Lytechinus pictus: one gene and its partner. The protein of the gene in region 2 purifies or fractionates together with the protein of the main gene of each other region. This does not show direct contact. Links are inferred from orthologs where the notes say so. Each region holds a gene or a part of one and is shown on either strand. Other genes may lie near its edges.

Region 1 (7,523 bases), on a different chromosome or scaffold from region 2:
GTGGGCCTATACTAATAGTCTATAAATAGTATATTGTTGTTATTATTTGATGAATAATTTTCAGAGAAACGACTGGTTCAGAAAACTATTAAACACAGCCTTTCGTGAAAAGCTCGACCCGGTTGTTGCGAAAAGGTGCGTTTATTTTACTCCCCTCCCTCAACCCACCCTTTCGAGAAAAGCTCCCCTGGTTTTCTTGAAAGGGTGCAGCCATCCCCGCTCCGCAAACGCAGATGATCGTAACAAGCCTGCATTGCATAAAGCGATTTATACATTTTTGTAAATCCAGCCAAGGCTGCATTTTGTGGCCATCACATGAAATGTCTGAAATTCAATATTTTTTCACCGTTTTAAGTAGGATTTTTTAATGATTATCTGTTCATGTATTGCAATAAAGTTTGTGGTCGTTGCATGTCTCCTTGTATTCGAATTGCGCAGATACACGTACATGGTACATGTAATCATGTATGCTGCAACGGCCGGAAATGGCTCGCCGCATGTACTCGGAGATTGATGACTGGTACTGTACATGTATGCGCAGACTTGGGGGACCTTACCATAGGCATAAGTAAGTACTGTAAAAAGAATTTACCAAATGGTGCCAATGTCCGCATAACCATTAATTTCAAGAATTTTGATTAAACCTGCATGTTAATCATACCATACACGTATTGTAAGAAAAGGCTATGGACAGAAAAGTCCATATCTGCTGTGGTTTCTTTGGAAAAAAAAAGAGATTTTCTTCATGTCACAAGATAATAAACACAATGGCAACATGTCAGGTCTGAAGTCATGATCACTGCATGTCTAATGATCCATGTCCATGTGAAAAGATTGTGTAAGCCTACATGTTTCTCGAAAGCCTTTTCAGTAAACTTTTTAACCAGATCAGCAGACCCCTAGATTTGGCAATTATGTTTCACTTGATTTCTTACAGTATTTCAGATATTCCTCAAACTGTGTCTACAGTTTGATGAGGAATGAATAGGTTTCTTTATGCTCAAGATGAATATGACAATATTTAAATTTGAAAGTACATGTAGTTTCTTGTTAGATTCATGACATACCGTAAGGGCACTAGTATTCAACCCGTTTGGAGAGTTTCCTCAAATATATAGAAATATAGAATTTACCTGAATTTCAGACCCGTCTTATTTCCAAGAGCAAATGCTGGTTATTCTTTTTCTGTTATTTTTTTCTTCAACCAGTTGACTGTGTGCGCGGGCGATCGAATTATACGGCGAGGGATTTTGGTACTAGTATTCAACCCGTCGGCACTAGTTTTCAACCTAGCGATGAAAGATGGCCCTGTCTCTCAATCTGCCCTTGTCCCATCCGACTATGGACTAGACCATTTGAGATGAGACCAAACAGGGAATTAATCAAAGCCAGAGACTTACATAGATCTAGATCTAATTTAGCAATCTAAACCCTTTTGAGATTTGCTATCAATCCTCACTAGGTTGAATACTAGTACCATTCAGTGCAAAAGGCCATCGCCGCATAATTCGATCCTCCGCGCCTACAGTCGACAGATTGACAAAGAAAATATCGACAACAGATTATCCTGGAAATAACAAAGGTATGAAATTAAGATAAATTCCCTATTTCTAAATATTTTGGGGAATATGTCAAAATCTTTGAATTATGCCGGGTTGAATACTAGTACCCATACGGTACATCTGTGATAACTAGTGTGAAATTTTCAATATGAATTTTCTACTACAGTGTACATGCATATGTATGTAGATCTCAACTCAAGGCCTAGCTTGAGTCTAGACCCTTATTATGAAATTATTCTTGAAATCCCCATCTACATCTAGACCTATGTAATATTTTTTCTGTTCGTCCAGATTCAAAACCTATCTGGACATAAAAAAGGTAACAACGGGGTTTAAATGTGCACAAAAATCCCATTCCCATGTCACTCATGACACAGCTGTGCTGTGCCAGTGAGCAGCAGGGTGGCCATTTTGTCAAAGCAAATTGTTCACAATTTGTCAATATTTGGATTGTTGAAAATAAAATGCAAAAGGGATTTCTGAAGAATTTTGTACAAGAAAATGCAGGTAATTGGAATTCTGGTCAATTTTGCTTGAAAATACTGTTTGTGTATCAGAATATTTCAATTTATGTGAAACAGAATATGGTCATTTGGCATTCTCAACTTGCAGTTCACCAGATTATTCAACCCACTCCAGCAAAATGTCTGAATTAACAGTTTTCTGACTGCTTCATGGGGATGAAAATGTCAGATAAAATTGAGATGGGCAGTCCAAAAAATGATATTGAAATTGTCAGCACACCATTTGCCTATCAACTGATGGTAAAAACTTCCTGATTTCTTCAATATATACGCTACGAAAACGAATTATTTGAAGGAAGTTTTTTCTGAATTAGCATCGTTGCATCACATTCGTCGAGTTCGAACAAAAGCCGAGGGAGCGTTTGCACGCAGTGACATTAGCGCAACCTCTACGCTGCATAGGCAGACACACGATCAACTATGGGAGCAAAGTCAAAAGCGAGATAAACAACTCCTTCATTTTAAGTGAAAGTACAAAATCTAATATATTTATGTGGGAATTGGGGACAAGATTACCGTAGAAAGGAATATTACCTAACATTTGAGAGCAAACATTCAATGAATGACAAGAGAAAAATATGTTAAAACTGAATTGTATTAAAACACATTTCGGTTGTCTTACCGGAGGAGGTCTAATTTTACAAATGCCAGTTTTCTCTGCAATGGGCCGTATCTTGGCAATGTAAGCGAGGGGGTCCGAGAAATCTTCCTCTGATGGTTCAAAAACGGGAGCTTCCGGTGGTGGAACGAAAGCCTGACCGTCATCCATGATTATGATTCCAATAAAATCCTTTATTATTTAGTCACACCACAGATTACTCCTTAAAGAGATGTGTTTTCAGTCACATATTTGTGATAAAAATGTTCCTCTCCGAAGTCGAAAACATTACCGTACGTAGATATCGTAATCGCACGATAAGCTATCGATATGCGAGCTGCACGTCACCATTGCGCATGTGTACAGCAGCGTATGGATGGAGTCGGACGGAGTTCAATGCCCCTTTACTTTCAAGTTAAAATTAAAATGTCTAATAATCTAAAAGCAGTTTGCATGGTTTAATAAAAGGTTTTGTAAACTGATCTATTCTTCTAAAAGATGACAACCTGACTAGACCCGTGATCTTTTCCTTTCATTAGAGGGGGACGCATATGCGGATCCAGGGGGGCCCGAGGGGCCCGCCCCCCCCGCCCCCTATTGACGGAGCAAAAAAAAAAGGAAAGAAATAAACAAACAACAAAAAAAGGAGGGAAAAGAGAGGAGAAAAAAGGAATGGAGGAAGACGAGTGAATAAAATAAGATGAGGGGAAGACTTGGAAAATGAAAAGAATCTTATGATGTCACTATAAAAATAAAATTTGCTCGTGCTTCGCGCTCGCATTGCCTGTTATGTGATTTTGTTCAATAAAGGTTATCTTGTTCAATATGGAGTTTAAATATCAAGTTTGGAAGTCAATATACAAAACATATTTCATCTCTAAAAATCGAACTTTCATTATTTTGTGAGATTTACTAAATGATTTTTAAAAATTGCTTTGTAAAAATGTCAGTTTTATGGTCTGAATATTAACATTTTCTGCTCGCGCTGCGCGCTAGCAAATTTTGATTTATCAGGTACTTATTATTTTCGTGTATTCCATTAAGTTGTCAAAATATCCCTTTTCAGGTTTGATTGTCACAACGTATCAGCTAGCGCTGCATGCTCGCATTTTGATGGTCGAGTTATGTATGTCTCAATATTGATTACATAACAAACTTCTTAAAATTCCCTTTTCATGACAGTGTTTAAAAAACTTAGGCTCGCAATTTGCGTTCGCGTTAATGGTTAAAGACATATTAACTGATGCAACCTATTTATAATTACAAAAGTGCTTGAAATATCCAGTTTCAGGCCATAATATCATCAGATTTCGCGCCCTCATTAGGCATTAATGAATAAGATATCAATTTAATAATTGAAATGTCCCTTTTGTTTCATCTCGCGCTTAGCAAGAAGAATAGGAAGACAGTCATCATTTTCATAATTATGATGACATGTCCTAAGGATGTCCTATCCGGTGTCCTATGTCCTATGTCAAAACTCAAAGTAATTATAATGAAAAATATCAGCTCTTTATCAAGTGCGATCGATATCCGCCTCACAATTTTCCTACAAAGTGCTTGAAATAGAGAGCTGAAATTGACTCTTTTTTCAGATCGGAATATCAAATAGTTTAAGCTCGCGCTTCTCGCGCTCGCTTTTATTTTCATGATAAAATATGTATATAGAATGCCTAGATTCTATGTCAAAATATGAAACACGCGCGCACATGTTTATTCAGATACTCAACTTGTTCTCTATTTAAATCATTATCCAGTTTCAGATCACAATATCAAAAAAATTCTGCTCGTGCTTTGTGTTCGCATTATTAATGTAGGGAGATCCCCTATGACTCATTCTTTTCATGATTTACAAAACATGAATAGCGTGTCCCGTTTTGGGGTCTAAATCTCGATTTTTTTTCCGCTCGCGCTTCGCGCTCGCATCAATGTTTAGTTATATAGCTATCCTGTTCACGATTACACAAATTGATTAAAATTTTCCATTCTAATGCAGAAATGTGAAAATTTTCAGCTCGCGCTTTGCGCTCGCATTATTTGATTGTTGAAATATGTAAACGTCTTCATGGCTAAGTGCATGCAAGTAGTCCTTAATAGGTACTTTTTCGATCAGTTCAAAACGCGTATAAAAATGTTCTGCTCACGCTTTGCGCTAGCATTATTAGTGTAAGGAAGATCCCCAATTACTCATCCTTTTCATGATTTACAAAACATGAATAGAGTGTCTCGTTCAGTGGGTCTAAATCTCGAAAATTTTCCGCTCGCATCAATGTTTAGTTATATACCTATTCTGTTTAAGTTACAAAAAGTGCTCAGAATTTCCATTCTTTAGGTAAAAATGTCAAAAATTTTCAGCTCGCGCTCGCATTATTTGATTTCTAAAATATAACGTCTTCATGGCTAACTGCATACAGTCTTTAACAAGTACTTTTTCCATCAGTTCATTTCTGCTCGCGCTTCGCGTTCGTAGTAATTATTTAGTTGCATACACATCTTTTTCAGGATAACAAAAATTGCCCAGAATGTTCATATTTTAGGAAAAAAATGCATAAGATTTCCAAAAAATTTAGCTCGCGCTTCGCGCTCGCATTATATAAATAAGGATTATGATATTATATATTTATGTTGATTTATAAGAATAAAGCTAAGAAGTGACTATTAGGATTACCCCTTCAAAGAAACCAAAAATCATCTTCGAGCGGCCGATCGGGGGAAATATGGCTGAAAAAAATTCAGCCCCCCCCCCCTATTGGCGAAGGCTGGATCCGCCCCTGGGGAGGGGGAGGGAACCACCTCCTATGATGTCAAGCCCGAGGGACTGCGTCAAGAATTCAAAACAAGAATTAAAAGGGAGAAAGGGAAAAGTATCAAGAAAATTATGAAAATGAGGGGCCTGGGCCGCGTAACTTTATTACACAGATAATTATGATCCAGAATCTGTCCTATAAATACCTGAGATATTTCAGGGGCGGATATCCAGCTTTCGCCATGATGGGGGGGGGGGGGCCGAAAAAATTCAATGAAAACTGGAGAAAGCAATTTGGTAATTATGAATCCCGGTTATGAATAGGATATGCATGGGTTCATATATTATCAACAATTTATTAATGCGAGTGCAAATCGCTAGTCAAAATTTTTGATAAAACGTCAGGAAAATGGGATCATAAAGTTTGTTATATAATATCAATAGAGGTATACATTACTCACCAATCAAAATGCGAGCGCGCAGTGCTAGCTATATTGGTTTTGACAATCAAACCGGAAAGGGATATAATTTAGATCACTTTATGGAACACACTAAGAGAATAGGTATTTTGCAAATCAAATAATGCGAGCGCGCAGCGCGAGCTGAAAATGTTGATACTCAGACAATAAAACGGACATTTTACAACTGAACACTTTTTGAAAATCAATTTGTAAATCAAACAAAATAATGAAAGCTCGACGTCCGAACTAAAATATATTTTGTATATTGACTTCGATACTTGATATTTAAAGCTCCATATCAGCCTATTGAGCAAGATATGATTATGTATTACATGTTCAGTGAGTCACCGAACATGCAATGCGAGCGCGAGCGAATTTTTTTTTAATGACCGTATGAAAGATTTTTTTTCCAAGTCTTCCCCTCACCTTATTTTATTCACTCGTCTTCCGCCTCTTTTTTCCTCTTCTTTTGTTTGTTCTCCCCTCTTTCCATTCTTTTCTTTCTTTCCCCTTTTTCTTTCGTTTTTGCTCCGCAAATGGGGGGGGGGGGGGGTTCCTCACCCCCCTGGATCGGCCTAAAGGCGTCTATGATATTGACGAAGGGACCTAGACCCTGTTCATCTTGAATGACACTTTTTATTTAAGCTTTAAGGCAATTATAATCATACTACTGAAAATACCCCTGTTCACTCGGAGAGGATGAGTTGACCAGGGCTCTGGGAGCGATTTTTAGAGAGGGAGTGCTGATGTGAATTTGACAACCAAAAAAAAAAGAAGAAGTTTTTACTTAAAATTGAGGTGCTTTCGGTCCCGAGAAATATTTAACAAGCAATAAAAAAAAACAGGGGGGTTCAATCCAGAATAAAAGTGGTTTTGGTCCACAGAAAAAAAAGGTTTTCCTAATAAATCTCGTTCACTTTTCATTACATTTTTGTCATTTATATGGTAACACACGGCGCAGCACTCCCAAGGAAAATTTTAGGGGGGGGGGGGGTGGTGCTTCACCCCCATAGCACCCCTGCTTCCCAGGACCATAATAATAATAGTAATAAAAATAATTATTATTTATGTTCCATTTGTATAGCGCAGCTACTATAATTGCTTGATACTTGTCGGGATACTTGGTATCATCATTACCCCGGCTGTAGCTGAGCCGCGCGCGCCGTATAGGCGCTAAAGCTTTCAAGGTATAGATCCTACCGGGTACCCATTCACCTAACCTGGGTCGAGTGCAGCACCATAGGCGGATCCAGGGGGGCCCGAGGGGCCCGCCCCCCCCCCCTATTGGCGGAGAAAAAAAAAGAAAAAAAAAGAAGGGAAAAGAGAGGAGAAAAAAAGAAGAAGAAACATAAGAGGAGGAAGACGAGTGAATAAAATAAGATGGGGGAAGACTTGGAAAATAATTTTAAAAATCTTTCATGTCGGGATATAAAATTTTCGCTCGCGCTTCGCGCTCGCATAACCCTTTAGGTGATTTACATATCTTGCTCAATATGGAGCTTAAAATATCAAATTTTGAAGTCCAAATACAAAACGTATTTCAGCTCGGAAATTTAACTTTCATTATTTTGTTTGCTTTACAAATTGATTTTTAAAAAGTGCTCTGTAAAAATGTATGTTTTATGGTCTGAA
Region 2 (7,985 bases):
AAACCAACTCCCAATTATTTTCAAACTTTGGTTTACATCTTTAAGGTTTTAAAATTGATCCTGTGGATATAATACTTTGAAACTTTTGGGATGGTATTTTTACACTATAAGCCTAATGTTAAGCCCATTTTCAAGAACCAAAATGAGAATTTTTAAATCAGAACAAAGTGAAATGATCACTTTAAAAATTGTATGGGTACATTTGAAGCCCTTAGATATATGCTTCAAGCTGATATATTGATTGTTTCTCTAATAAAATCTATTTGGATTTTACAGCCATTTTTGTCAAAAATTTTCCAACTAACCCCGGTCTCCCCTAATGAAGTTTTTAGTTTGCAAAGTAATCAGTATTTTTGTAACTAAAGGAGAATCATTAATAATTAAATCCTTTGATTCGGGGGATTGACCCCATGTATGGGTCCTAGGTTCCTTACACTGTGCAAGATAGGTCCATCTGGATCTGTGTAGGAAGAGAAACCAAATTTTTTTTTTTTTTAAGTGTGAAATTTATAAATATCTTCCAAACAGACAGAGTTCAGCCAATACAATACTTGAATTTTCATGATTAGACATTGCAAGACATGTGTTTTCTCTTAAATATTTCTTCCTATTCAAATTTAAACTTGCCATAATAATGATTGGACATGAAAATGTGGCAATCAGCAGAAATACAAGACTAAATAAACTCAATCAATGTTTAGAGCAAGGTTTTACTAAGTGATTACTTAAACTTTTTTTTTTAGAAATGGCAAAGAATGATTTTCCTGATGGTTGCACCCTATCCTGCACAGAAAGCAGTTGTGTGTTGATTGGCTGATTGTTTGGTGGGACATTTGAAACCATGCAGTGTTAATCTTTGTATGATACATGTATGCATTTAAATGTCCATTTATGAATTGAACTTCATGGTGAAAGTTTCAGGAGTTGTTTTTAAGTATTCAAGGAATCGTGAATTGGAAAAATTTAAACTAAGGCAAAGTTTTCCTTTAAATCGATTCAATGTACAATTTAATGGGAAAGTTCACCCTGACAAAAAGTTAATTGTAATTAATAGCAGAAAAAATAATGAAAAATATTGTCGAAGGTTGGAGCAAAATCCATCTAAGAATAAAAAAGGTTATTGGAATTTTATATATTTGATTTGTGACATCATAAGCTAGCAGCTTTCCTACATATCGTATGGTAAAATATCAATGAAATGTCATTTTAGAAAATTGAAAATGGTTTTTACTGTAGGGGAGACCGGGGTTAGTTGGAACATTTTTGACAAAAATGGCTGTAAAATCCAAAAAAGATTTTATTCGAGAAACAATCAATATATCAGCTTGAAGCATATATCTACAGGCTTCAAATGTACCCCATAAAATTTTTAACTCTATATGGATACTGAAAAAAATCCACCTTGAACAAGACCATCGCAAACGTTCCAACTTACCCCAATACGGGGTAAGTTGGAACATGGTATGGGGTAAGTTGGAACACTGCATGGTCAATTAAGAATTATACTAAAACTACTTAAAACTGTAATATTACATGGTTTTAGCCTATTTGCTTTATTTTATTCAAGTTCAAAATATCAAAGTGTGGATTCATTGAACTTTATGTTTTCTATTATACAGCCACTCATGCAAGCAGACTGTGTAGTAGAATTCCGCATATTTGGGTGTGTTTGATTTTACATGCAATTAGGTGTACTATCAGTAATTTCATGTACTTCTGCATCAACTTTATAAGACAAAAATTAATTGTTTATAGTTTTTCATTAATTAATTATGCAAATAACTACAAATAAGCATATGAAATTTGCCCTAAATTTGCTTTTTTTGGTATGTTTTTGCCTTTAACTCTATTTATTAAGCTAGTAGAATGCTAATTTTTGGTGAGAGTATCAATTTTCACATTTATAACAAATATCCACCAAAAATGGCAAAAAATATAATTTCTTATGTATTTTTTGTTTTTTTTATTTGTATTTTCGAACTTTATTCCGATGAACTTTTTCGGGACTCTTTTGCGATCATAAATAGCATAAAATAAATCTATTTGAACCAACAAAAGTAAAAAATAATTATACATTTATGACTTTTGGGTTGAAAAACATAATTTGCATTGACCTTGTACATGGAATCACGTTTTTGAACAATTTGGGGTTTGACCATGCACGTACAAATTGTTGCGTAAATTCGAAACCGCGCACACAGGCATCGCAAATTTGGTCTCAAATGATGCGCAAGACTTGAAAGAAAAAAGTCAGCGAGCAGTGTAGTAAAAAAAAATTCGCGCGACGGCGTAGTGGCGAAATTTCTCGAGGGGGGGGGGGGGGCTCAAATTGACCCCCAGTTTGATAAGGGTTAATATTGCATTAGGGGCCTACCATAGGCCTTAAATGCACACTCAGACCTAACTGATAAACAAAACAAGCATGGTATACAATACATGTTCAGAAGAGCGTGAAATACTTTATATATTTTTTCTCATATCCAATTTTTTTATTCATAATTATGTTTGGGATAAGTTGGAACATGTTCCAACTAGCCCCTTCAATTTTGTTCCAACTAACCCCGGAGGCCCATTTGACGTTTATAAGCTTACAGCACAAAAAAGGAACTTGACCATGGCATATTAATAACATAATTTTGTAGCTTGGTATAAGTGTCTATTATACCCCCAAACTGGCCAACTTGATCTATAAACTTCTCTGAGATAATCAAACATTTCTGAAAGAGAAAAAAATTACTCAGAAGGTCAGAAAACAAAAATTCCTTTCTAACTTCACCAGGCTTGTTGCACATGTGTTGTCTGTAATATGGTGGATGGCTGTTGATAATGACAATAAATAGGGGGCAGTATTGCAGAAATTTATTTAAAGACGTGAAAGAAAATTACAATGTTTCAACTTACCCCGCGTTCCAACTAACCCCGGTCTCCCCTACCTTCAGTATATCAATACATAAATCATTTCACACCCGTGTCTTAAAAGAAAACAAAAATAAGTCATCAAAAACCATTAAAAAATTGAAATTTATGCATTTTATATCATATATAACATATGGGGCAGCTGCTCGTTTATGATGTCACAAATCCAAAACTTTAAATTCTGATAACTTTCTTAATCTTTAATGGATTTTCCTCAAACCTTCAGCAGTATTTGTCATTATTTTTCTGCTATTTTTACAACAAACTTTTCATCAGGGTGGGTGAACTTCCCCTTTAAACAGGTCCTCGATCAGTTACATATAAAAGCATGCTGCTGTTTGATTCAAATTGATGCATCAATGCATAGGAAGTATATTTATTCCACATGTGTGCTATAAATCATCAAGGTAGATCACATCAACTGTACAAATGTACTATACTATGTCACAGACTGTTTAGTTTTATCAAGTACCTGTCTTCAAGTTACTGAACCCCACTATCCTCCTCTCTTCAGCCTGGATGTTAAAGGACAAGTCCACCCCAACAAAAAGTTGATTTTCAAAAAGGAGAAAAATCCAACTAGCAAAACACTGAAAATTTCATCAAAATCGGATGTAAACTGAGTTATGACATTTTAAAGTTTCGCTTAATTTAAAAAACAGAATTATATGCACATCCTGGTCGTTATGCAAATTGGCAGACTGATGACGTCACCCACTCACTATTTCTTTTGTATTTTATTATATGAAATATGAAATATTCTAATTTTCTCCTACTTGTCAAGTGAAACAAAGTTTTATTCCTCCCTGAACATGTGGAATTACCATTATTCTAACAGTTTATGGTTAAGTTAAGTTGGTCCTTATTGTCAAATCTGTAAAAATTGAAATATTGTATTATTCAATATGAAATATTCTAATTTTCTCCTACTTGTCAAGTGAAACAAAGTTTTATTTCTCCCTGAACATGTGGAATTACCATTATTCTAACAGTTTATGGTTAAGTTAAGTTGGTCCTTATTGTCAAATCTGTAAAAATTCAAATATTGTATTATTCAATATGAAATATTCTAATTTTCTCCTACTTGTCAAGTGAAACAAAGTTTTATTTCTCCCTGAACATGTGGAATTACCATTATTCTAACAGTTTATGGTTAAGTTAAGTTGGTCCTTATTGTCAAATCTGTAAAAATTCAAATATTGTATTATTCAAACAAAAGAAATAGTGAGTGATGGACATCATGGACTCTCTCATTTGCATATCGCTGAGTTGTGCATTTAACTTTTTTGTGAAAAATAAGCGAAACTTTACAATGTCATAACTTTCTTATTTTACACCCGATTTCGATGAAATTTGCAGCGTTATGTTTGTTTTATTTTTCTCTATCGATTCTAATCAACAATTTTCTGGGGTGGACTTGACCTTTAATGATGCAGGTTGATAATTAGGTAGCTTAGGCAGGGCCCGACATTAGCAGTGGCCTGATTGCCCGGGGCAACCAGAAATGAGAGTTGGGCCACCAAAATTCTTTACAAGCCCACACTTTGTTGCCCGGTTTGGCTACCAAAGTTTTGATAAATTGTAATGTTTTCTATTGTTTTAGGGCCACCAAATTTGTTTTGTGGGCCACCGAAAATATGATATTGATGATTTTGGTGGACTGAGCGGCCACCCAAGAAAAAAGTTAAGTGTGAAGCTTTGGCTTAGGTCTTGAGATCGTGCTGTTTAAACTTGTTGCAGTAAAGTAGATTCAAAAGAAATTAAAAGAATCAAGATTTGCCTATTCATTCAGGGGCCCATATCATAAAAAAGTTGCTAAAATAGCAACTGTTTCTTGAATATTAACATTTGTTGGAAGAGCCAATCAGAAAGCAGGATTGTCACTGTTGTCATACTACTTGACATTTCAGCAACACTTGCAACATTTTGTGAAATGGGGTCCTGATGTTGTTAACCTTTACTATTGATGATATTTTTTACGATGATGGTACAGCGCCTGTCCACAATCACTATGCTTGTTTTATTTATTCAATGAAATAAATGAGTATTAATTTGTGTTTTATTATTGCAGGTGATGTTGGGAATTATTACTATGGACAAGGACATCCCATGAAACCGCATAGAATACGTATGACACATAATCTCATACTCAACTATGGACTCTACAGAAAGATGGAAATCTATGTAAGTATTTTAAATCTTTAAACATTAGAGGGTGCTCTTTCAGCTGAAGAGTTACCAACAACTGCACAAAGCTTTGCTATTCAAAGATCACTTGAGACTTGTTGGTTTGCAATCAAAAGAAAAATGATCAGAAGATATGCATGCTCACCAATTTCTATATTTTGCTCTTGTTGATGCTGACATTCCTTCAACTATTCTTAAGCCTGTAGCTTAATATAATAAATGCAAGATTTATTATGCTTCATCTATCTAGTAAACTATCCTGGGAAGCAGATGGAATGGGGGGGGGGGGGCTAAGGATTTACATATAAAATAATGTTTGCTTGCTGTATGTATGGGTGCATGAACAGATCAAATGAGGTTCCAATATTCAACAAAAATAAGATGAAAACATATATGATTTTAGATATTTTTCAAATGTTTAAAGTGAATCTGCTGAAAGGATCCTCAGTGGAACAGCATTCCAGAGAGATGAGCTGAAGAGGCAAATTCTTTTGTCCTCTTATTTATAGTCGGGTCCAGATTTGAGAAAAGTAGACTGCCTTAGGCAAATCGTGTTAATGCTGAATTGAGAAGTGTTTTAGCATAATTTGAGGGCGCTGAGTCCAAATTTGCTGTTTGCCAACCTTGATTTTGATGTTAAAATCCTCAAATTGGCAAAAACAATATGGCCGCCATTCTACACCCTTTTTTTGCTCTATTCTGAACCCCAAAACTTGTAACAAAAATGCTTGTAATTGGTTTTTGTCTGACCTGCATAGCAGAGTGAGACTATAGGCGCCGCTTTTCCGACGGCGGCGGCGTCAACACCAAATCTTAACCTGAGGTTAAGTTTTTGAAATGACAGCATAACTTAGAAAGTATATGGACCTAGTTCATGAAACTTGGCCATAAGGTTAATCAAGTATTACTGAACATCCTGCCTGAGTTTCATGTCACATGACCATGGTCAATGGTCATTTAGGGTCAATGAACTTAGACCATGTTGGGGGAATCAACATCAAAATCTTAACCTAAGGTTAAGTTTTTGAAATGTCATCATAACTTAGAAAATATATGGACCTAGTTCATGAAACTTATACATAAGGTTAATCAAGTATCACTGAACATCCTGCATGAGTTTCACGTCACATGACCAAGGTCAATGGTCATTTAGGGTCAATGAACTTTGGCCGAATTGGGGGTATCTGTAGATTTACCATCATAACTTTAAAGTTTATGGATCTGATTCATGAAACTTGGACATAATAGTAATCAAGTATTACTGAACATCCTGTGCAAGTTTCAGGTCACATGATCAAGGTCAAAGGTCATTTAGGGTCAATGAACTTTGGTCAAATTGGGGTATTTGTTGAATTACCGCCATAACTTTGAAAGTGTGTTGGTCTAGTTCATAAAACTTGGACATAAGAGTAATGAAGTATCACTGAACATCCTTTGCGCATTTTAGGTCACATGACCAAGGTCAAAGGTCAATGAACTTTGGCCATAATGGGGGTATCTGTTGAATTACCATCATAACTTGGAAAGTTGATGGATCTTTCTCTTGAAACTTGGACATAAGAGTAATCAAGTATCACTGAACATCCTGTGCGAGTTTCAGGTCACATGATCAAGGTCAGAGGTCATGTAAGGTCAATGAACTTTGGCCACGTTGGGGGTATTTGTTGAATTACCATCATATCTCTATAAGTGTATGGGTCTAGTTCATAAAACGTGGAAATAAGAGTAACCAAGTATCACTGAACATCTTGTGCGAGTTATAGTAGTTTTCAAAATCAGCACTGCTGCTATATTGAATCGCGTGATGCAGGTGAGACGGCCAGAGGCATTCCACTTGTTGGTACTATCTGCTCGCAGGAATAACGTATTAAAAATTTACCAATATCCAGAGACGGGGAAAATGGATGTTTTCAAGATGGCGTCTAAGATGGCCGCCATTAACTGAAAATTTAAATAACCGACACTTTATCTATACTAGACATCTTTTTCGGTGCATACATGTACATGTATTCAATGGTGTAGGGGGTAAAAAGAAAGAATGAACATAAGCACTCCCAGGTACCTGAAAATCCAAGATTGCGTAAAAATGGCTGCCATGGCCTAACAATTCACAATTCATCTATTACCTATTTTAGTGTCTTTTATTTGGGTTTTATTCATTGGTGATTTCAAGGGTCAGGAAGTAAACTGGGACAAGTTACAAGGGCAGTCAAGGGTCCCTTATGTCCAAAAATCCAAGATGGCTTTCGAAATTGGAGTCTAAAATAGATGTTGTTATCTTAAAACCCGATATACAGTAGTTTGTGTAATATCTGCCTTGAGGATTATGATGTTGGTGTCTAACCCTTGGTTTAATGGGTCAAGAAATATGTTGGGACAAGTAACAAAGACAGTCTATGGCCCTCCATGTCCAAAATCCAAGATGGTTTGCAAAAATGGAGTATAAAATGTCTGTTGTTAATTTCAAACCGACACAGTTTGTTTAATAACCGCCTGGGTATATGATTATGTTGTCTAACCCTTGATTTAAATGGTCAAGTAGTACATTAGGATAAGTTACAAGGGCAGTCAATGGTCCTGTATGTCTAAAAATCCAAGATGGCTTCCAATGAAGGAGTCTAAAATGGCTGCTGATACTCTGAATATGATTTTTTTAGTATAACCCATGGTTTAAAGGGTCAAGTATTACATTGGGACAAGTTACAAGGACAGTAATAGTGGTTCCAGTATGTCCAAAAATCCATAATGGCTTCCGAAAATGGAGTCTATAATGGCCGTTCTTACCAAAAAACTGACATAGTTTGTTTAATATCAGCCTGGGGTATATGATTTTGGTGTTTAACCCATGGTTTAAAGGGTCAAGTAATAAATAAAGACAAGTT

What was found. The genes of interacting proteins can lie anywhere in the genome.
Region 1: the proteins of histone deacetylase 1 (region 2) and lysine-specific demethylase 5A-like purify together in Drosophila melanogaster (affinity purification with western blotting; 3 studies listed by BioGRID, with this or other methods). This does not show direct contact. The link is inferred for Lytechinus pictus from reciprocal best matches to the Drosophila melanogaster genes HDAC1 and Kdm5.

The regions. Positions count from the first base shown.
Region 1 is NC_087247.1:31,238,653-31,246,175, reverse strand, and holds the start of lysine-specific demethylase 5A-like, read right to left. Parts: upstream 3,017-7,523; 5' UTR 2,856-3,016; coding exon 2,709-2,855; intron 1-2,708. UniProt on the Drosophila melanogaster protein: Histone demethylase that specifically demethylates 'Lys-4' of histone H3, thereby playing a central role in histone code. Does not demethylate histone H3 'Lys-9', H3 'Lys-27', H3 'Lys-36', H3 'Lys-79' or H4 'Lys-20'.
Region 2 is NC_087261.1:582,865-590,849, forward strand, and holds the start of histone deacetylase 1, read left to right. Parts: upstream 1-4,981; 5' UTR 4,982-5,025; coding exon 5,026-5,100; intron 5,101-7,985. UniProt on the Drosophila melanogaster protein: Catalyzes the deacetylation of lysine residues on the N-terminal part of the core histones (H2A, H2B, H3 and H4).